Arabidopsis thaliana: one gene and its partners. The protein of the gene in region 2 purifies or fractionates together with the protein of the main gene of each other region. This does not show direct contact. Each region holds a gene or a part of one and is shown on either strand. Other genes may lie near its edges.

Region 1 (8,346 bases), 3.1 Mb from region 2:
GGTTACCTCAAGTGATTCTCTTAGTTGGAACAATTCACAACTTCTAAATTCCTTCTGCATTAGATTTGCTCATTCACAAACTAAAGCATCACTCCGTAAGCCTCTTCTTGCCTATATCTTAAAACCCAGTAAAGGAAGAATAGTTCAGAAACAAATTCAACCACCAAATAGAGCTGCAATACTCAAGATATATCTCTTATCTCAGTTATTATATTTCTTAGAGGATATCTAAATTCTCACCAGAGGAAATCATTTGTTTCTCGAGTTCCTGGACTGCATCGAATATCCCATGAGCAGTATAGGTTTTGATCATAGTAGCAAAAGTGATTTTATCAGGCTTACATTTTCTCTCTTCCATTTGTATGTATAATTCTTTCATTGTAGCCAAATCACCAGCCTGACCATATGCATTGATTATGCAATTGAAGAACGGTGTATCCAGTACCACATCTGAATTCACAATTTGCCTCAAAACCGAATCTATCTTAACGACAAGACCTGCTTTGCTATACGCGTTAACAAGCGAACAATAAGTGATTGAGTTTGGTTTCACTCCTTGATACTTCATTTTCCTGAATACATCATCCATTTTCTCAATTCTTCCAGCTTTTCCAAACGTCTCAATCACTATATTGTAAGTGACAGTCGTCAGGGAGAAGAACCTTTTCTCCATAAAATCCATAACAGAGCACATCTTCTTATACATACCAGCTTTTCCAAATGACAGGATCAGTATGTTAAATGTAGTGATATCCGGTTGCACCCCCATCAGCTGGAACCGACTATACCAGCTCTCCATCTTCCTCATGTTGCGACCATTTCCATATGACCCAATGATCGAGTTAAGCGTACAAACATCCGGAAGAGAATCTCCGTCCTCGATCATATCAGCCAGAACACTTTCCATTTCCTCAAACATTCCAGCCTTTCCATACCCATCAATAATAGTATTGTAAGTAACCGTGCTGCATCCAACTCCAAGATACGACATCTCAAGAACGATACTTTTAACCAGATCAAACCGACCCAGTTTGCAGCAACAACTGATGAGAACAGTAAAGGTGAACACATCTGGCTTGCAGTCACTAACAGATTTCATATACTCAAGTGTAGAAAACGCCTTGTCTAGAAGCTCGCTTTTGCCATAAACAGAGATAAGAGAGGTATACACATCAATGGTTGGTTTCAATCCTTCAGATAACATAACTTCGAAAAGCAAGCTGGCTTGATCAGGCTGTTTACAATTCCCAAGCACTTTAAACAGCTTTGTATAAGTTTTGCATCTTGGTTCATACCAATGCTGCTTCCTAAGAAGATTGAAAATCTATAAAGTAGAGAAACAGGAAAGTGAATTCTATCGAATCTATGTCCAAGTATCTGTAAGAATGAAGAAGGATTAAAGAGCTGTACCTTGAGAGCAGACTGCCATCGATTCTCTTTGATAGCTTCGTCAAGAGCTTCTAGAACAGCTTTTGGCCATAAAGTTAAGTACTTTTCGGAATTGGCTTTCCTCTCAATGCCCTTCACAGCAGCATCTGTTCTCAGAATCCGAGACAATTCTTTCTTAGGATCTACTTGGTGTCTTGTTGAGATCAAACCAGAATTCATTTTCTCTGTACGTTCGTTGGGGACCTTTGTCGAACACATTGTGGGCGTTATTGAAATAGTTGGTATACACCGAAAATAAACAGGGGAAGATATATGTTGCTGAACCACGCTTCTGCAAGAATGAGAAACAGAGAAAGATAGATTTAATATAAACACAACTGAAGAATTAAAGAAACGTAAAATTCAAAACAGTATGATTGTATGAAATATGAGAATGTTACCGAGAAAAACCAAGTTGTGCGATCTCATTGGCGTACGCGGAAGTAGTTCCTTGAACAGGATTTTGTATCAATGCCATCGAAGAAAAATGGTAGAAAGATAAGGTGGAGAAAAAGAAACTGCAAATTTTCTGGGTAGAAAGCAGAGCTAGAAGACGACGACGATACCGTTGTTTTTCCTTCGTTTTTTTCTTCTTCTCCGGTTTGGTGTAGCTTCTCTTCGGTTTGTAAAATATAATGAAATGGTTTTAGTTTTGATTTGGATGCCGGTTTAATTTGGATTTACAAAATTAAAAATTTAGCATTAATCAGTTTTTTCTTGTCCGGTTTAAAGGATTGGATTGATGAAGGAAGAACCAAATGGAGCTTTTTCCAATTTAATTTTGAATTCGAATTTGTTAAAACGAGATTGTCCTTGGCAAGGAACCGGAATTTGGAAAATGAAAAACCAAGAACACAGTTGAAAGTTATCCACACTAGTTAGGACACGTGGAGGCTAATGTATTTCACGTGGACACGTGCTCATCACTCTCCTCTAAACGCCGTCGTGAAGTTTAAAGGTCAGAGACATCGGCCACCGACCAAATCAGACAAGGAAAAGTCAACGATTTGATTGGATCTTCTTCACTTATGCTTTAAAACCGTTCCTGTAATAAACTGTGAAGATTGTAAGAAGATTAACACGAATCAAGAACATCGAACTGTTGACTTTAGACAGAGAGAGACGGAGATGGAGTTTAGTGAGTTAAAGGAAGCAATAGAGAAGATAGAGCTCGTTGATGCTCACGCACACAACATTGTCTCTCTTGACTCATCTTTTCCGTTCATCGGAACTTTCTCCGAGGCTGCCGGCGACGCTTTAACCTTCGCTCCTCATTCTCTCTCCTTCAAGGTACACGACGATACCAAGTGTTTTTGCTCTAGTTAGTTTTCGTTTGAATCAGATTCTAATTAATGAAAACGTTAGCTTAAAGTTTCCTAATTAGTCTCAAAAGTATTAGTTAACTAAAGTTTCGAGTGTTACTCAAAAGATGTTGACTTGTTTAGGAATCTCGTGAAGTTGGTATGAATGTTTTTGGTTGTATGAATGAAACAGAGGAACTTGAGGGAGATTGCTCAACTTTATGGCACTGAAGTATCTTTAGAAGCGGTTGAGGAACATCGTAAAACCTCGGGTTTGGATTCTTTTACTTCCAAGTGTTTTAAAGAAGCTCGAATCTCTGCTCTCCTCATTGATGATGGATTAAAGCTAGACAAGAAACATGATATTGAATGGCATAGAAACTTTGTTCCATTCGTTGGTAGAGTGTTGCGTATCGAAACTCTTGCCGAGCAAATCCTCGAAGAGGAGTGTCCTGGTGGTTATTTCTATGGTTCTGAGAGTACTGAACCGCCTGTTTGGGATTTAGATTCTTTCACCAAAACCTTTGTTGAAAGATTAAATTCATATCCTTTTATCTTTGCTTTTTTAATACACGCTTAATGATTGTGACTATACTCACTAGTATTGGTTAACCTTGACTACTTCGGTCACGCTTGTTCCAGAGATTGTTGCTTTGAAAACTATTGCTGCATATCGTAGCGGTTTGGATATTGATACTTATGTGAGTAAAGAAGTTGCTGAGAATGGCCTTGTTGAAGTCTTGCGAGGTAAGATGGTTGTGCTTGGTCTATCAAGAAGTAACATAGTTGTTGTCTGATCACCTTAAAATCTAATATTGCTGCAGCTGGAAAGCCTGTCCGCATAGGAAACAAGGGCTTGATTGACTACATCCTTACCATTAGTTTGGAGGTCGCTGTGCGTCGCGACTTGCCCTTGCAGATTCACACCGGGTATGCAAGATTTGATCAACTATATGATTGATGTTAGTAAAGTCTGATCTTTTTATCAAACAAACCTTACACAGAAACAGAAACTCATGCTCAGAGGTTTGTAGTAATGAAAATTCTCCTTTTCTTTTGTTGTTTGAGCCAGTTTTGGTGACAAGGATTTGGATTTGAGGTTGTCGAATCCTCTTCACCTTAGAACCCTTCTTGAAGACAAAAGATTTGGAAAGTGTCGTATAGTTCTTCTTCATGCAGCTTATCCATTCTCAAAGGAAGCATCCTTTCTGTCTTCAGTTTATCCTCAGGTTTTTCGTCATCCCATTTCAATTATCTGTAAAATCATGCCTAGTCATTAACTTATTTTCTTGTTCCTTAAGGTTTACCTTGATTTCGGCTTGGCGGTTCCAAAGCTTAGTGTCCATGGTATGGTTTCTTCAGTTAAAGAGCTCCTTGACTTAGCATCAATAAAGAAGGTAAAATTTATTTTACTTGCATTATCTTTGTTATTGTTCATGAGTAACCATAAGATATTATTGCAGGTTATGTTCAGCACTGATGGGTATGCATCTCCTGAGACCTACTATTTAGGTTAGCTCAAGTTTCTACCTCTTTTCTATAGTTTGTAACATACTTATATATGTTCCAATCCTGTTTCTAAGCTTTGGCACTTGAAATCGTCTTGCTTCAGTCTTGAACATAGCTCGCTGTTTTTTGCAGGTGCAAAGAAAGCACGTGAGGTTATCTTCTTAGTTCTGAGTGATGCTTGTGCCAGTGGTGATCTCTCACTCATGGAAGCTATTGATGCAGCTAAAGACATATTCTCACGAAATTCTATTGGATTTTATAAGCTTAATATAGACACAGATTCTTCTAGTCCACAAAATATAATATCTCCCAAATTGAAGATAAAGGAGCCTGATGTTCAAGAAGATAGTAGTTCTTTTGTACGCATTATTTGGGTTGATACATCTGGACAACAAAGATGCCGTGTGAGTTTTTTTTTTTTGGTTTCTTCTAAAGAAAAAACCTCTGTTTCCCACCTCAACGATTTTTCCTTAGAAGCACAAAAACTTAACTAGAATTCTGTTTATTGTATTGTTTCAGGCTGTTCAAGCGCAGCGTTTTAACAGAAGTGTGAAGAAGAACGGCGTTGGTCTGACCTTTGCATCAATGGGGATGACTTCATTTACTGATGGACCAGCAGAAGAGTCTAAATTGACAGGTGTGGGTGAGATTAGACTTGTTCCAGATCTATCAACCAAGCAGACAATACCTTGGTACTTTACTCGTGTTCATTCTCTTTGGAGTTAATTTTACAGATGTTTCTTTCTTAATTGTTTCCGTATCATATTTTATCATTAGGACGAAGCAAGAGAGCATGGTTTTAGCTGATATGCAATTGAAGCCTGGTGAAGCATGGGGGTACTGTCCACGAGAGACCTTAAGAAGGGTCGCAAAAGTTCTCAAAGATGAATTTGACTTGGTAAGAAATCTCCATATAGCCATTCTACGAAAACTTTTATTTGCTTTTTGGTTGCTTAAGCTCAAATCTTCCTTGGCTTTTAGGTAATGAACGCTGGTTTTGAGAATGAGTTTTATCTCCTCAAGAACGTTGTGCGGTATGCGACTATATATTTCTTGAATACCGGTTTCTTTGTTCAATCCAATCATTTTCACAATCTTAACACTTGTTCTGTCCATTTTTTAAAAGGGAAGGGAAAGAAGAGTATATGCCTTTTGACTTTGGTCCTTACTGTGCCACATCCTCATTCGATGCTGCATCTCCGATCTTCCATGATATTGTACCCGCACTCGAGTCCTTGAACATCGAAGTTGAACAGGTTACAAATAATTCAAAAATCCCTCATAATGATCAGTCTGCAACATGCTTCTTGACATGTATGAAATTTTTTCATAGTTTCATGCTGAATCCGGGAAAGGTCAGTTTGAAGTATCTCTCGGTCACACCATTGCATCCCATGCTGCCGACAACTTGGTCTACACACGTGAAGTTATAAGATCGGTTGCAAGGAAACAGGGATTGCTCGCAACCTTTGTTCCAAAGTATGTCAGTCTCTCCCACCAAATTATTCGTTGTAACTGCAAATTTTTAACATATGTGTTTTTTCTTCAGGTATGATTATTGTGACATTGGTTCTGGATCACATGTGCATCTAAGTCTTTGGAAAAACGGCGAAAATGTCTTCCCGGCATCTAATAACTCATCTTCTCATGGAATCTCTTCCGTTGGAGAAGAGTTCATGGCCGGAGTTCTATTTCATCTTCCATCAATCTTAGCTATTATAGCTCCACTCCCAAACAGGTAACTCGAAAACCGTACTTTTCGAGTAATTTCCTCAATTGTTATTAAAAGTTGTGTGTGTCACTTAAATTTCCAGCTACGACCGAATCCAACCTAATACATGGAGTGGAGCATTCCAATGTTGGGGCAAAGAAAACCGCGAAGCAGCGTTAAGAGCAGCTTCTCCACCAGGAACTCCTGATGGTTTAGTTACTAACTTTGAGATAAAGTCTTTTGATGGCTCTGCAAATCCTCACCTTGGTTTGGCTGTTATAATGGCTGCTGGTATTGATGGTCTCCGGCGACATCTTCAACTTCCTACTCCAATAGGTAACTAAAAACTTATGTTATTCATTCTCATGTATATGTAGTGTTAATATGAAGCTTGATCTTGAGTTGTTCGGATGGAACAGATATAAATCCGGCGGATGTGGCTGCTACATTGAACAGACTTCCGGAAACGCTCTCAGAAGCTGTTGAAGCTCTGGACAAAGACAAAGTTCTCCACGATTTGCTCGGACAAAAGCTTTTAGTTGCCATAAAAGGAGTCCGTAAGGTAACACTATAGTCTTTTAGTTTCCCATTAGATTCTCAGTGGTAACAAAGTACATTAGCACTAATCTATTGTTTTTGTCTTTTTAAATTTTTTTGTGTAACAGGCTGAGGTCGAGTATTATTCGAAGAATCCGGATGCATATAAGCAACTCATTCACCGATACTAATCCTTTGAGCATCTCTATGATGATTGTTGGATCATTTGGTTTTATTGTGGACTTTGTGTCACATGAAGGGTCGTATTTGCAAAATACTTGACATAAAGATGTGGTTCAGAAAATTAATAAACTAAATTTCATATTTCGAGACGCATGCTCATGCTGGAGTACTATTTGTATTTCTTACTTTTTCGTCCCATGCTTTCAAAAGCCTCAAGAATATACAGAGTATTTTCAATAATACGGAGTAGTTCTTAATCATTTACATTTGTCTATGAATTGAATTTGACTACTAATACTCGGAAACAAAAAAATGATTGTAGTATTAGGAGCGCAAATACCCTTTAACCATTGTTCTTTCCATGTTCTTAGTCCGGCTATTGTTATCTAGGTAGGTGCCTGATCCCTTTTTTTCAAATCTTTCTTATTCATTACTTTGACTAATTAACCTATTTAATCATATTTAATCTCCCTTTAATCTGCAAACTAAAGCACATGTTTTTTTTTATGAAAGAAAAGGTTAGTATGACATTCTTTTGGTAAATCTCATCATATTATTTATTTAATTTTAAGAAATTGGAGTTTAAAGTGTAATTAAGTTATGCTACCTAGCTAATTTCCTTAAAATATGAACGATAAGTATAGAAATTAAAGTAAAGATTAGGTTTATACGGTACGCTTATTATGCTCAAACAAGTGGACGAACAAAATCCATCTCCATGTGACTATGGAAGAGAACTTATTAATAAGTCCAAATTTTTTTCTTGCAAACTTTATGATTTCATTCACACTAGACAAATTAATTGTTCGTAAGAAGGTATACGTACAACATAATGAGCTTTTACTGCTTCCCTTTGCAAACGAATCAGCTAAAACTTTACAGATTTATATGTTCAAGGGAAACTATAACTAAGATTTGAAGGAAAAATCTAACCTTTCTACTACAACAATAAAAGTCAATGCAAGGTCCTTTGAAAAGAATCTTGTTGTCGCATGCATGTACGTAATTTTGTAGTCAAATGTACGAATGATAGATATATGGGGTCAAAACGTTAAAATCCAGCCTAAGAAAGACAGAGATTTACTCTAAATCTTCCAAACCAACGTTATCAATTTTGTTGTTAACATTCAATTGACTTTGCTGTTAATTTTGGATTGTAGAATCGAATTAAAATGAAAATACAAGGTGAAAACGAGACAATAGCGTGAAACTGCTTTGCGTATATATCAAGTATCAACAGTTTTGTTTCGTTTTTGTTGGTTTGCGTTGGGATAAGAAACCGGCATTTTGTACATGGTTCAATTTTGTAATACCTAAACCAATTTCCGGTTTAAGTGGTTTATTAATATGATAAAATAAAATAAATATTTTTTACAAAAATACATAGATAGGACCATGGGTCCATGACGCTTTGACAAGAGCCAATAAAGGATTTACTGTAAAATCAGTAACTTTATTGACAAACAAAAAATGCAGCTATAAGTTGTCCCCACCGTATATTACAAAGATTCGAATACTTTAATAATACAAGCTAAAGAATAAAGAGCAAGAGCCTTTGACTATTTCCACTTATAAGTTTTCCTCCGAGACCGAGAGAGATCAGAGATGGAGCAGATTATTTCACCACGCTCCGGTCAAATATATATTTCTTCTGTTTTAGGCCTCAGCAAAAACCAC
Region 2 (6,816 bases):
GATTTGATTTTTTACTTTGATCTTAACAAAATTGCTTCTTTTGGTAATAAAGTAATTAAATTTATAAAACTTTAAAATGAAAATGTGGAGCCCATAAAAGATCTCTGAAGTTGATGGAGAACCATAGAAACGAGAGACTTAACTGCTTTTTGAGACAACAATTGGTAATGGATTATGCAATTATAGCTATTGGTCTATTTCGCATTCATTTTACACTTTCTTGTGATTTTAATTATTGTGATTTGTTCCTCTCTTTTCTTTCTTCAGCAGCCTTTTGTACTCTTGATGATGTGAATTGGAGTGTAATATAACACCCCTCAATGTTGTTAATATAAGTGTTTCAAAAATAGTCTACTTATATGATATAAACTAAAGTATATGGAGGAACAAATTCGAAGATGCTCGTTGTTATCATAAGCTTTAATACTTTATTGAGGAAGCATTTTATGTTGTAACGGCTAAACTATACTCAACAAGAAAAGGTAAATTCTAACGGAAACAATATAGCCTTTAATTCTGTTCAAAGTTATAGAGATGGGCCGTTACAGACTTTTATTCAAGAAGCCCATCTGCGCATACTCAACACTTTTTTAAAGAGTAACAAATTACACAAATTTACCAAGTTCCCAAGACCTAAATCATTGACTGAGTCAAGAATCATTTGCAATTTGCATGTTAGAATATTGTCAGAAGAATCATGAAATTTTCAAATTGCTTCACATGTTTTGTCCTTTGTTATTCACTTGAGGATTTTCTATGAAGTTCATATTTTTCTTCTGACACCCCGATGAACTGTTAGTAAAATGGCAATTGCTAAACGACTCCTATATCATTCTATCGCTATATATCTCATATTCCCCAATGTAAACGTTGATTGCATGTTGATCCACGTTTCACTCTTTGCCTAAACGTTTCAGAGACGTATGATGTGATGGATATTAAATCCATGAAATTCTTCAACTTAAACTAATTACTCTGCATTTAATCCATAAGTCAATAAAATGTATTTCCCGTTTCATTACAGTTTATTCGATTAAATTTTCAAATTAAAAAACATGAGCAAGTAATATACTTAATTATTATTTTACGAAGGATCAAACAAATACTAAAAACAGAAAAAGAAGATATGAAAATCACATCTTCGAAGAACCAGATCTTGTTGTAGAAATCCTTATCTTAGAGAGGATCCGACAAAACATATTCTTCTTCTTGTTGTTGTAATTATCGACGACAGCTTCGGTGTTTTGCTTTCTCTTCCACCATTTGGTTCCAAAAGCACCGCACAACAGTTTACCAGTCGTCGAATCAGAGGAACAACACAGATCAACGACGGTGTTGGCCCCACGATTGGCCTTTTCTTCCAGATCAGACGGTCTTCGAGAGCAGCAAACTTTTCCGGCGCCAGCAAGAGAAGGTAGAGACATGAAATGGCGTTCAATGATGTGAGTAAGAGAAACGAGCTCGTAGGAATCATAGAGTGGACTTCCACAATCCCATAGTATACGATCATCATCATCAACCATATTCTTCGTTTTCTCTGTGGTCTTTTTCATGAATGATGTTTTTGGAAAGTGGAAGTGTGTTTCTCGATGTAGATTTCTGACAGTGAGTGCGTGTCTTCTATTGAAAGTGTTTTAAGGTTTTTGTTTTCTTCCTCTAGTCTTTGTTTTTGGTCGAATGGACTTATAACAGTCAAGCTGGCGAGATTTGTTTATGTTTATTTGACGATTATTTACCTTTAATGGAGGTTTTTTTTTTTGTTGTTAATTACTCGTTAATGAATCCGGAAATTGGAGAATATAGATACACTACGAATTTGATAAAGGGAAATATGTGATTATCATTTTACCATTTTAGTTGGTTTAAAGAATGAACTCTTCCAATTTATCATTTTACCATAAAGGGAAATATGTAATTTAAATTTTTAATTTTATGTTGAATTTCAATTTAATCATAAATTTTCGTTGACTAAGTTGGTTAAGACATGTCGTTAGAAATTCTTCCAATAAAAAATCTTAGATCTTGAAAATAGATTTCCAATTTTTTTTTCTTTTTCTTCGGATTCTTGCTTCTTTTTTTAATTTAAAGTAATTTTTCGTCTCTAAGTCGACAGATAGCATCGAAAAAGAAGAATTTGTATCTCAATTAGCTTACTCAACGAGAATTCATGATTAAATTGAAAAACAACATAAAATTAAGGATTTAAATCACCATACCCAAAATTCATATTTTAAACTAACGAAAATGGTAAACTAATGATTTAAATGACATTTTTCCCATTTGATAATCAAAAAACTCTAAAAATTAATCTTAAAGTTAAAAGTTATTATTCCATCCTTTACATGCAAAATTCTTCCTTTTTAAGATTTATTGGGCTGAAGAAATACAAAACGGGCCTATAATTGGCCCAATATGAGTAAGCAGACGTTAGTTAGCTTAGCTGAGAGAGTGTGGCTTTAATTAGAGCATATGGTTTAGTGTTAATCTATGCAAAAATTTATCTTCTCCGTCCGCAAAAATTCTTTAAAGCATTGGATCGAGTTTTAAAAAGGTATCCGCGCCAGAGCTTAATTTAATCATTTTCATTTCTTCATCATTCATCATCTTCCTCACAGTCTCGAAACCCTAGTTTTGTACCCAATAACAACTTTCTGGGTTTAGAAATGCCTCGGGAGATAATTACGCTTCAGGTTGGACAATGTGGGAATCAGATCGGTATGGAGTTCTGGAAACAGCTTTGCCTCGAGCACGGTATCAGTAAAGATGGTATTCTCGAGGACTTCGCTACTCAGGTCCTTCTTCTTCTGAACCAACCAAGCCTCTCTTTATAATTAATTGTCTACTTGAATTTCTTAGGTCTTATTGATTCGAAATCGTTGTTTCTGGGTTTCTATTAATCGACAATTGAATACCCATTTGGGATTAGTGGATTAGTGGATTTTTGATGTTTTGATCTTGTTTGTGAAGGGAGGTGATAGAAAAGATGTGTTTTTTTACCAAGCGGATGACCAACACTATATCCCACGAGCTCTCCTCATTGATTTGGAGCCTAGAGTCATCAATGGTATTCAGAATGGTGATTACCGCAATCTCTATAATCACGAGAATATCTTCGTTGCTGACCATGGTGGTGGTGCTGGTAATAACTGGGCCAGTGGTTATCACCAGGGGAAGGGTGTTGAAGAGGAAATCATGGACATGATTGATCGAGAAGCTGATGGAAGTGACAGTCTTGAGGGTTTTGTTCTTTGCCACTCTATTGCTGGAGGCACTGGCTCAGGTAAATGATGAGGCTTTCTTCTTTTAGCATTCTCATGTTTTTTCACTGCTTCTTCTGATGTGAATGACTCCCTCCATCTCTCTCTCTCTTTCTTTCACATGAAGGTATGGGATCTTATTTGTTGGAGACTTTGAATGATCGCTACAGCAAGAAGTTGGTTCAGACATACAGTGTCTTTCCCAATCAGATGGAAACGAGTGACGTTGTTGTCCAGCCCTACAACTCACTTTTGACGCTTAAGCGGCTTACATTAAATGCTGATTGTGTTGTTGTCCTTGACAACACTGCTTTGGGAAGGATTGCTGTGGAGCGTCTACATCTGACAAATCCTACCTTTGCTCAAACGAATTCTCTAGTGTCTACTGTGATGTCTGCTAGCACAACAACACTGCGTTATCCAGGATACATGAATAACGACCTCGTTGGCTTGCTTGCATCTTTGATCCCAACACCAAGGTGTCACTTCCTCATGACTGGATATACACCATTGACTGTTGAGCGCCAGGTAAGATATCTCAACGAGTTTAATATCACAAAATAATTTTATGGGAAGCGATCATTGTATCTTGAACATAAATTCTACAGTGTGCAAATGGTTTTTTTGATTGATTTCCTGCTCTATTAACTGACTTGTTCTTGGCAGGCAAATGTCATTCGTAAAACTACTGTGCTGGATGTTATGAGAAGACTTCTACAGGTGAGCTGTTTGCCTTCTCCAATCTTTTTCCGAAACTTGAATCGGTTGTGCTTCTAACATGATTGTATTTGCAGACAAAAAATATCATGGTTTCGTCTTATGCTAGAAACAAAGAAGCTAGTCAGGCAAAGTATATATCAATATTGAATATAATTCAAGGAGAAGTCGATCCCACTCAGGTACTTTTACCTAGCTGTTTTTTGATCGGACACATTGAGGATGAATTGGTTATTCTTTCTTGCTGATGTAATCTGCTCTGTTATTTCGCTACTTGATACTAGGTGCATGAGAGTTTGCAGAGGATACGAGAAAGAAAGCTTGTTAATTTCATTGAGTGGGGACCTGCAAGCATACAGGTTCTAACCTAATTGTGTCTGCAAATTAGTTATTGCTTTTGGCTTCACCATGGACTTGAATCATAATTTTTTCCATATCTTACTCTCAACAGGTTGCTCTTTCCAAGAAGTCCCCATATGTTCAAACTGCCCATAGGGTAATCTTATATCACTCTATATCTATCTGTCATACTGAGAGTTGCCGCTCCTTACAGTTAATGTCTTAGGCTGCTAGTTCCTGCTTTAGAAGATTCAACAAAGACTCTTATTTTATGGTGTATTTGATATTTCAGGTCAGTGGTCTTATGTTAGCAAGCCACACTAGTATCAGGCACCTATTCAGCAAATGTTTGAGCCAATATGATAAGTTGAGGAAGAAGCAAGCTTTTCTAGACAATTACCGGAAGTTTCCCATGTTTGCTGTAAGTTGACTGCTCAAGTATAATGGCTTTGTTTGGCTGATGTTTAGTGCAACAAACCCAGCTTTGACAGTTACATGTTGATATGAACAGGACAATGATCTTTCAGAGTTTGACGAATCAAGGGACATAATTGAGAGTTTGGTAGATGAATACAAGGCCTGTGAGTCTCCAGATTACATCAAATGGGGAATGGAGGTATATAAGCTTTTCCCATCAATAATCTTACTTATGGATGAACTCGAAATGATAACTGTATCTGTGTCTGTCTCAGGACCCTGAACAGCTTATGACTGGTGAAGGCAATGCTTCAGGAGTTGTTGATCCGAAGTTGGCGTTCTGATTATTATATAAAAACAAAAACCAGAGTAAGTCGCATGAAGTTTCACTTTTAACTGAGATATTTCAGGTGATCATAGGATTACTTAAAAATGGGTTTTGGTAGGAGCAGTAGTAAGTGTTGGCACGTAAAACCTTGGAATAGTGGTATGATGTGGATGAGTTTTTTAGTCTGTTAGATGAATGTGTGTTTCCTGGGATTGAGAGCACACAAAGTTGCATCTCCTCACTCCTCAGGAGAAGGAATCTAGAATTGTAATATTTATGGGTGTTTTAGCTCATGTCTCTGTGATCGGAGTATCATGTTCTCCATGTGTGGTTAAAAGACTCGAAAACTCTAGAAAGCAAGAAGCATGTTGTGTTGATGAAGGAATTGGGTTTAATGGATTCTATTTTCTTTGTATATATGCTGTGATCTAAACTTTTACTAGTGCCGTGTTGATCATAGTAAATTCTATCGGTCAACTCTCCTTTGAGTTTCTTTTTGCATACGACGCCGTTCTGGAAGCAAATCAAACTTAACCAACAATATAAAATCATATTTATAAAAAAAAACCTTTGCAAGTTGAATTGAATTTACTTACTATATAAGAATTTAAATTTCGTGGACCTCATATTTTATAATATAATGGGATTAGGTAACAAATTACACTAATGATTTTCCAAGAAGTCGTTTTAGACGCGAGTATTTGTAAATTAGTAAGCAAATAATAAAAAGAGATGTTGACAAAACGATAAACAATCCGACATCAACTGCGATTTATTTGGCCTTATGATGAATAGATTTTACTTTTTAGATATCGAAAGTGTATGTTACTTTGTTTGTTAGCTAAGTCCTTATCTTTCTTCTTATTTTGAAACTAAGCATAATCTTACGAGTAAAAACCAAAATCTGACTAAAGACCTATAACAACACTTACTTACTAGCCGTTACATATGTTTCACTCAAAGCATAAATTTTTATAATAACAATTTGTTTTTATTCTCGTATCAATAATTTTTTTTAAAAAAAAGGGGAACAGCTTGGCGAATTATTCCATTTTTTTAATTTAAAAGTAAAGAACTGAAAAAGGGGGAATCTCAACATCATCACATCACATGGCCTCTTTCTTACTATTATGTAACTCAATTATTCCCTCTGCAATGTTTTTCTGGTCCCTAACTATAAACATCTTTTGTGATGTTTGGTACTAAATGATATTTTATTTATTTACAAATAGATAATTATGCTAGTAGTAGTACCATACTAGAATTTAAAGAAATATATGTGGAGGCTGGAGAGAGAATTACAATTTGGTTTTGCATAATTATGTAGAAAGGTTTAGAAAATATCTAGTAAGGTGAAGTTTTATTGTCAAAATATTAGTATGAGTTTTGGAACAAAAACTAGTTGATCTCTTGTGTAATTAAAGCGTGTTGTAGTAATAGTAATAGTAGCAAAAGAAAAGAGATTTCAAATGGGAGATGCACATATGGACACGGATTCGTACAAAGGTTAGAAGAAACACATGTTAAGGTTTCAAAGAATAAAATCCACCCCTGTTTAATGCTCCTATACACGAAAGAGCTCTCAACGCGTAATATCTGTCAAATTTTAATTCAGAGGACGTGTTAAATTAGCCATAACTTTAGTTTAAAGCTAAATTTGATAATAATTACAATAAATTCCAATTCCATTTGTTGAGGGAATAGAAAGAAATTAAACGAACCAACTAGGAACGGTCATTTAGCCAGAAAATGACACAT
Region 3 (6,752 bases), on a different chromosome or scaffold from region 2:
GCATGAAACTTCAATCCATTCCACAGAACAAGATTTATGATGGTTACAGAAACTCATGAAGTCATGAACACTAGTCAAACTGTTAAGACTAACCATAGGCATAAGCTATTGATTGATTATTCTCATTCCGCACTATCGTTTCCCCATCTGCATACCATGCAATCTCCTCTCCTTTCCGGATTTCCCTTGGACTAAGTGAAGCATAAACCAATGTCAACAATCCACAGAACAAACATATAAAACTAAAGTGTTTGAATCCTACACAAAAGAAATCAACATATTCACCTGAGTGGACGAAAACGCACAGTGACAGTGACATTTTCTTTGGACTGCAAAGGCTTAGGTGGTAACTGAGGCTTGCTTCGAACCGATGAAGAAGTAGGGGAGCTATGGCTATCTACAGACGCCTCTTGATAAAGTTTTGAAGACGAGGTTGTTGAAGATGCAGAGGACTCAACAGTCTTTAACTTGCTAAATCCACCATTTCTAGTCTTTGATACTTGTTTAGATCCCATCACAAAACCAAATTCAAACTTCGAGTGACTGAAAAAATGAAGAAAGTACAAAACTTTATCAAGTACAGACTGAAACCAAGCTAACGGAATTATGCTCGACTGTGTAATGAGCTAAAGATTCCTTTTTTTTTGTCAAACTGAGCTAAAGATTCCAAATTGTCATAGAGCAACTTGCAAATTGACAGGAAAGCAATGAAATTGGGAGTTTACAAAGCTCAATCGGTAAGCGAGTGAGAGAATCACAATGAGAGGAATAAGAGAATTACGGAAATGCCACGAGCTTCGAACACTTGGGTTAGGTCGAAAATTGCAATAAAAGAGAAGAAGAGAGGCAAGTGGGTACTAACTCAATGTAGCATCACCGCCGCTAAAAGCCGAATCGCATGCAAAGGATTATGATGATGCAAGAGAGAGTGAGTGATTACGTAGAAGAAGAAGAAGAAGAGGAACTTAAAGAAGAGAAAAGCATAATCATCATTAAAAGAGTAATTAGTTAGATGATTGCGATTGTTGTGTAAAAGAGTGTTTACTTTTTAATAATAATCTCTCGCTTGCCTTTGAAGTTTGAAGTGATAATACCCGAGTTTCAATTGTTTATTCGTTCTTCTCTTAAACTGTAATCACCAAAACATCATTAAGAGATAAAGATAAGAGAAGAATCGTATACGTACACATGTACAATTGTACGTATTTGCCTTCACGGATTTTTCTATGTCATAAATAGCTATAAACTTCTAAACTTTTGTTGTTGAATCAATTATGATTAGATAAGGAAGTAAATTGGTGTGAAAAAGATAAAGATATGGAAATGATAGTAAAGTAGTGTATATATATAAATGGTGTGCAATCTGTAACAAACAGAATATAGAGAAATTAATTAGTGAAAAAAGTAGAAAGTGATTGTTACAGGGAATATTTTTCCACATACGTAAAAATAGGTCTAATATTTTTACTTTTTAATTCCGATCTTGTACTTTTCTTTTTACAATTGATTAAAGTGGAAATAAGCTTCCTTTATTTTCATCTTCATTGATGAAAATAATGAGTAGAGAAACATTTTACTACCTAAAATGAGTAGAGAAATCATTCCTCTATTCAGAGAACAAATGTCTAAAATGAACTGTTTTTATTATTTTGCTCAATAAATACATAAATTTGGTAGATAAAACCAAATAATCTTTTTTAAATGCTAGTTAATTTTTTAAAAAAGTATACATTTTTATTGGTACCTTTTATTGTGAATTAAATATTATGAGGTTTTTTCATATTTATATATTTCTTTATTAATTTTAAAATGGAAAATTCTCAAAATTCCATTAAACAAAAAAATTCTACGTAACATATCAATTAACTTGTGAACTTTTTTTTAATTCAAACATTATTTTTCTCCGTTGTTTCAAATAATATATTTGAAATAAAACTTATAACAAAAAAAATGAGAAGATATTTTGCATAATGTTTTTTTATTCCAATGTTTTTGGATTTCAACATATGTATTCAATTGCCCGCCGAGGAAAAATAATTACATAGCTCTAAAGTCCAAAAGAAGCCCAATCTTTTTTTATTCGTTCACTCACTACTCTCTTCACTCGCCCAAACTCTGCAAAACCTCTTTCGATTTCAAAAATCAAATTCACCAAAAAAACTTCGAAGAACAAAAAAAATCCAAAAAAAGGTGAAATCGAAGAAGAAGAAAAAAAAGGCAAAAGCTTGAATTGATTATGGAAGACGACGATCAGCAGAAGGCTGCAGATCTAGTACAAGAGCTTGTTCTTCGTCTCGTCTCACAAAACCCTCAAACCCCTAATCTCGATCCCAATTCTCCCGCCTTCCTCAAAACCCTTCGTTACGCTTTTCGTATCCTCTCTAGTCGTCTTACTCCTTCCGTCCTCCCTGACGCCACCGCTATCGCTGAGTCTCTCAAACGCCGTCTCGCTACTCAGGGTAAGTCCTCCGACGCACTCGCTTTTGCCGATCTCTACACTAAGTTCGCTTCCAAAACTGGACCTGGCAGTGTCAATAACAAATGGGCTCTTGTTTATTTGCTTAAAATTGTTTCTGACGATCGTAAATCGGCTATAAATGGTCTTGATTCCTCGGTTTTGTTACCTAATTTGGGGATTGGTGATACTGGTAATGGGGTTTTGAGCCGTGGAGAGGCTAAGAAGAAGGATTGGAGTAATGGGGTTTTGTTGGTTAGTAAAGATCCTGAGAATTTGAGGGATATTGCGTTTAGAGAGTATGCCATTTTGGTTAAGGAAGAGAATGAAGTGACGGAGGAGGTTCTAGTGAGGGATGTTTTGTATGCTAGCCAAGGAATTGATGGGAAATATGTCAAATTTAACAGTGAAATCGACGGTTATGCCGTGCAGGAGTCTGTTAAGGTGCCTCGAGCTACGAGGATTATGGTTCGTATGCTCTCTGAGCTTGGTTGGTTGTTTAGAAAGGTTAAGACTTTTATAACTGAGAGTATGGATCGGTTTCCAGCTGAGGATGTGGGAACTGTTGGGCAAGCGTTTTGTGCGGCGTTGCAAGATGAGCTTTCTGATTATTATAAGTTGTTAGCTGTGCTAGAAGCGCAGGCCATGAATCCTATTCCTTTGGTTTCTGAATCAGCAAGCTCAAACAATTACCTTTCTTTGAGGAGGTTGTCGGTATGGTTTGCGGAGCCTATGGTGAAAATGAGACTGATGGCTGTTTTGGTTGACAAGTGTAAGGTTTTGAGAGGTGGGGCGATGGCTGGGGCTATCCATTTGCACGCACAGCATGGTGATCCGCTTGTTCATGATTTTATGATGAGTTTGCTTCGATGTGTGTGTTCTCCGCTATTTGAAATGGTGAGAAGTTGGGTTCTAGAAGGGGAGTTGGAAGATACTTTTGGTGAATTCTTTGTCGTAGGTCAGCCGGTTAAAGTCGATTTGCTTTGGAGAGAAGGCTATAAGCTCCACCCAGCAATGCTTCCATCTTTTATTTCACCAAGTCTAGCTCAGAGAATTCTGAGAACTGGGAAATCTATAAACTTTCTTCGTGTTTGCTGTGATGACCACGGGTGGGCTGATGCAGCTTCAGAAGCAGCAGCTGCCTCTGGGACAACAACTAGGCGAGGAGGTCTCGGGTATGGTGAAACAGATGCACTTGAACATCTTGTAACCGAGGCAGCAAAGAGAATCGACAAGCATCTGTTGGATGTTCTATATAAGAGATATAAATTTAAGGAGCATTGTCTTGCGATTAAGCGTTATTTACTACTTGGTCAAGGTGATTTTGTCCAGTACTTGATGGATATTGTAGGACCCAAGCTTTCTGAGCCAGCCAATAATATTAGTTCATTTGAGCTAGCTGGGTTTCTTGAGGCTGCAATACGAGCATCAAATGCACAGTATGATGACCGTGACATGCTAGACAGATTGAGAGTGAAGATGATGCCTCATGGCAGTGGAGACAGAGGCTGGGATGTATTCTCATTGGAATACGAGGCAAGGGTTCCATTAGATACCGTGTTTACTGAGTCTGTTTTGTCTAAATACCTGAGAGTGTTCAATTTTCTCTGGAAGTTGAAACGGGTAGAGCATGCTCTTATCGGAATTTGGAAGACCATGAAACCAAATTGCATCACTTCGAACTCATTTGTTAAGCTTCAAAGTTCGGTGAAGTTGCAATTACTCTCAGCCCTGAGGCGGTGCCAGGTCCTTTGGAATGAAATGAACCATTTTGTTACTAACTTTCAGTATTACATCATGTTTGAGGTATTGGAGGTATCATGGTCTAATTTCTCAAAAGAGATGGAAGCTGCTAAAGACCTCGATGATCTCTTGGCAGCGCATGAGAAGTACCTCAACGCCATTGTTGGAAAATCTCTTCTGGGTGAACAGTCACAGACCATCCGCGAATCACTTTTCGTCCTGTTTGAGCTTATATTACGGTTCAGGAGTCATGCAGATCGTTTGTATGAAGGAATTCACGAGTTGCAAATAAGGTGTGTTTTGTCTTTTATATTCAAACAAAAGTAGACCTTAAACTATTGCTCAAACATTTTCCTCTGATTTTAGGGTCACAATTTGATCTCTAATATCACCGATTTCCTGCAGATCTAAAGAATCAGGACGAGAAAAAAACAAATCGCAAGAGCCCGGTTCATGGATCAGTGAGGGTAGGAAGGGCTTAACACAGCGTGCTGGAGAATTTCTACAAAGCATGAGTCAAGATATGGACAGTATTGCAAAGGAATACACATCGTCACTTGATGGATTCCTATCTCTCTTGCCTCTGCAACAATCTGTAGATCTCAAGTTTCTCTTTTTCCGGCTTGACTTCACTGAGTTCTACAGCCGATTGCATTCCAAAGGATAAGAAAGTTGAAAGAGTATCAGGTTTAGTTGAAAAGCATATTGCACAATCGCAAGAGAAGAAGACATTATCTACGTCTTTCACTAACCGCTGACTGCAGCATGGGCTCTCCTGAACCAGGGATGCAGAGGTTCTTTTCTTAAAATCTAGGTGCGTGGGAGAATCTGTTTCTTATTTAGAGACTGCCTCATAGATTTTCTGTCTTTTGCATAGATTGTTTTTTCAATGGCTTGTTTCAAAGTTTAGGATTGGGAAACAGATTCTTTGTGTTGGTAAATTGGGGAAGGTTTGTGTTTGAGTTTGTGCTATAAGTCTGATGATCTCCAGCTTTAGTTTTTTTTCTTCTTCTGTGGTTCACTGATTTGTATGATTTGTTTTATGACTTGGTTGATATAAGAAGGAATCAGTTGCTTCTTCATAATGTGTATCTCCATAGTGTAAAAGGCTCCAAACTCTGAATTTTTCACTATCTAGAAGCTTCTGTAGCCACGGCCTGAGATTGAGCACAAGCATTAGCTCACAGTGATTTTAATCCGCAAGCCTTTCTCTTGCAATTAAGAAGAACCTTTGTGATACTCTTCCTCTCATCCACATTGATCTATCTCTGTGTGAATGAAGCATATGAACAACAAAAAACAAGTAGCTTTTGGCAAGAGTTACAGTCTCAAAATCTAAAGCAATCGTGTCCAATTTAAAAGAAAAAACAATTCACGGTTGTCGATTAATTTGCAAGTGCAGGCCAAACTGGAGGTTAACATATAAGGAAAAAAAAAAGGTGAAAAAATTCGTCGCCTGAGAGATTCGAACTCTCGCGGGGAAACCCCATTTACTTAGCAGGCAAACGCCTTAACCACTCGGCCAAAGCGACGATGATGCTCAATTAATGAATTGATTAATTTAATCGTTAATTGAAATTATTAGTATAAAATAGAAATCAAAATGTGAAATTTCTTCCAAAACATTAGCTTTTCATTCACTCGTAGAACTTGTAATAGAGTAGCTCATTTACTTGCCAAACATGGTTGTCTTCAATGTAACTACTACTCTGATTATGCTTGTCCTCCTAATTGAATGGTTGAACAATTGTACCTTGACTTTAGCCATTCTTAATTAACAAAGCTCAATCTCGACGAAAAGAAAAAAAAATGTGAAATTTCTTGATTATCAAAAAAAGGAGTTTTTAAGTTTGAAATTGTATAAAGAAAGAAAATAAGAAAACTGACTGTACATATTAATTTTTTTTAAAAGAAAAAAAAAAGGTAGGAAATGAAAAAAAAGAGAGAACTAGACAAATTTGTTGATCAATTCTCTAACTTCTTCGATGACAAGCCATCCTTTGTGACCTCCAATCACCTCCTCTTTCATCTCATCTTCCTTCCATAACTGCATTCACCACTCATTTTTCTCATTATTATGTTAATTTACTTTTTCACTATTACTTTATTGTCAAATGCGTATCAAGAAACTCAAAATACTGATGTTGTATTAGATGAAAGTAAGCATACCTGAATAGTAGGCATTTTCTGCATAACACACGAATATGGAAGTAATTGGTTCAGATTTGGCACATACCACATCAGAAAAGAAGGACAAAATTATGTTTAAGCATTTTACCGAAATGTTTCCACGTTTCACCAAGGTTTGAGGGACCTTGTTTACATCCACATAGTAAAACTTTGCTCTGTTGTAAGAAAAATCATTTTTGTTCACAATATAATCAACCTTTGCAATAACATCCATGTAAATTGTTGATTCTTTTGTTAGCTTACCGGTTATTATATTCTGCCGCTAATTTCTCCAACTTAGGCTTCAAGTAAATACATTTTCGACACCAAGAAGCCATCCTGCCCAAATATTTCTCACAATTCTTCATAACCAAACATATATAAA

Evidence for each region. Proteins that work in one complex are often made in the same cells at the same time.
Region 1: the proteins of TUBG1 (region 2) and NodGS purify together in Arabidopsis thaliana (affinity purification with western blotting; one study listed by BioGRID). This does not show direct contact.
Region 3: the proteins of TUBG1 (region 2) and SPC98 purify together in Arabidopsis thaliana (affinity purification with western blotting, with the first as the bait; one study listed by BioGRID). This does not show direct contact.

The regions. Positions count from the first base shown.
Region 1 is NC_003074.8:19,704,512-19,712,857, forward strand, and holds NodGS (nodulin/glutamine synthase-like protein), read left to right. Parts: upstream 1-2,308; 5' UTR 2,309-2,556; coding exon 2,557-2,718; intron 2,719-2,922; coding exon 2,923-3,272; intron 3,273-3,360; coding exon 3,361-3,476; intron 3,477-3,553; coding exon 3,554-3,659; intron 3,660-3,801; coding exon 3,802-3,958; intron 3,959-4,030; coding exon 4,031-4,126; intron 4,127-4,192; coding exon 4,193-4,241; intron 4,242-4,370; coding exon 4,371-4,642; intron 4,643-4,757; coding exon 4,758-4,930; intron 4,931-5,015; coding exon 5,016-5,136; intron 5,137-5,219; coding exon 5,220-5,272; intron 5,273-5,364; coding exon 5,365-5,494; intron 5,495-5,571; coding exon 5,572-5,717; intron 5,718-5,787; coding exon 5,788-5,976; intron 5,977-6,052; coding exon 6,053-6,285; intron 6,286-6,368; coding exon 6,369-6,511; intron 6,512-6,614; coding exon 6,615-6,677; 3' UTR 6,678-6,949; downstream 6,950-8,346. Other genes in the region: AT3G53170 (LOW protein: PPR containing protein), read right to left, coding at 89-117, 241-1,324, 1,411-1,720, 1,830-1,906.
Region 2 is NC_003074.8:22,810,859-22,817,674, reverse strand, and holds TUBG1 (gamma-tubulin), read left to right. Parts: upstream 1-2,458; 5' UTR 2,459-2,663; coding exon 2,664-2,792; intron 2,793-2,967; coding exon 2,968-3,280; intron 3,281-3,384; coding exon 3,385-3,785; intron 3,786-3,923; coding exon 3,924-3,977; intron 3,978-4,051; coding exon 4,052-4,156; intron 4,157-4,258; coding exon 4,259-4,333; intron 4,334-4,425; coding exon 4,426-4,470; intron 4,471-4,605; coding exon 4,606-4,734; intron 4,735-4,824; coding exon 4,825-4,929; intron 4,930-5,005; coding exon 5,006-5,074; 3' UTR 5,075-5,593; downstream 5,594-6,816. Other genes in the region: AT3G61660 (uncharacterized protein), read right to left, coding at 1,134-1,553. UniProt on the Arabidopsis thaliana protein: Tubulin is the major constituent of microtubules. The gamma chain is found at microtubule organizing centers (MTOC) such as the spindle poles, suggesting that it is involved in the minus-end nucleation of microtubule assembly.
Region 3 is NC_003076.8:2,054,505-2,061,256, forward strand, and holds SPC98 (spindle pole body component 98), read left to right. Parts: upstream 1-2,023; 5' UTR 2,024-2,236; coding exon 2,237-4,491; intron 4,492-4,603; coding exon 4,604-4,865; 3' UTR 4,866-5,355; downstream 5,356-6,752. Other genes in the region: AT5G06670 (P-loop containing nucleoside triphosphate hydrolases superfamily protein), read right to left, coding at 94-191, 286-515; WCRKC1 (WCRKC thioredoxin 1), read right to left, coding at 6,348-6,543, 6,632-6,706. UniProt on the Arabidopsis thaliana protein: Gamma-tubulin complex is necessary for microtubule nucleation at the microtubule organizing centers (MTOCs). Required for the positioning of the gamma-tubulin-containing complex on pre-existing microtubules and for the proper organization of cortical arrays.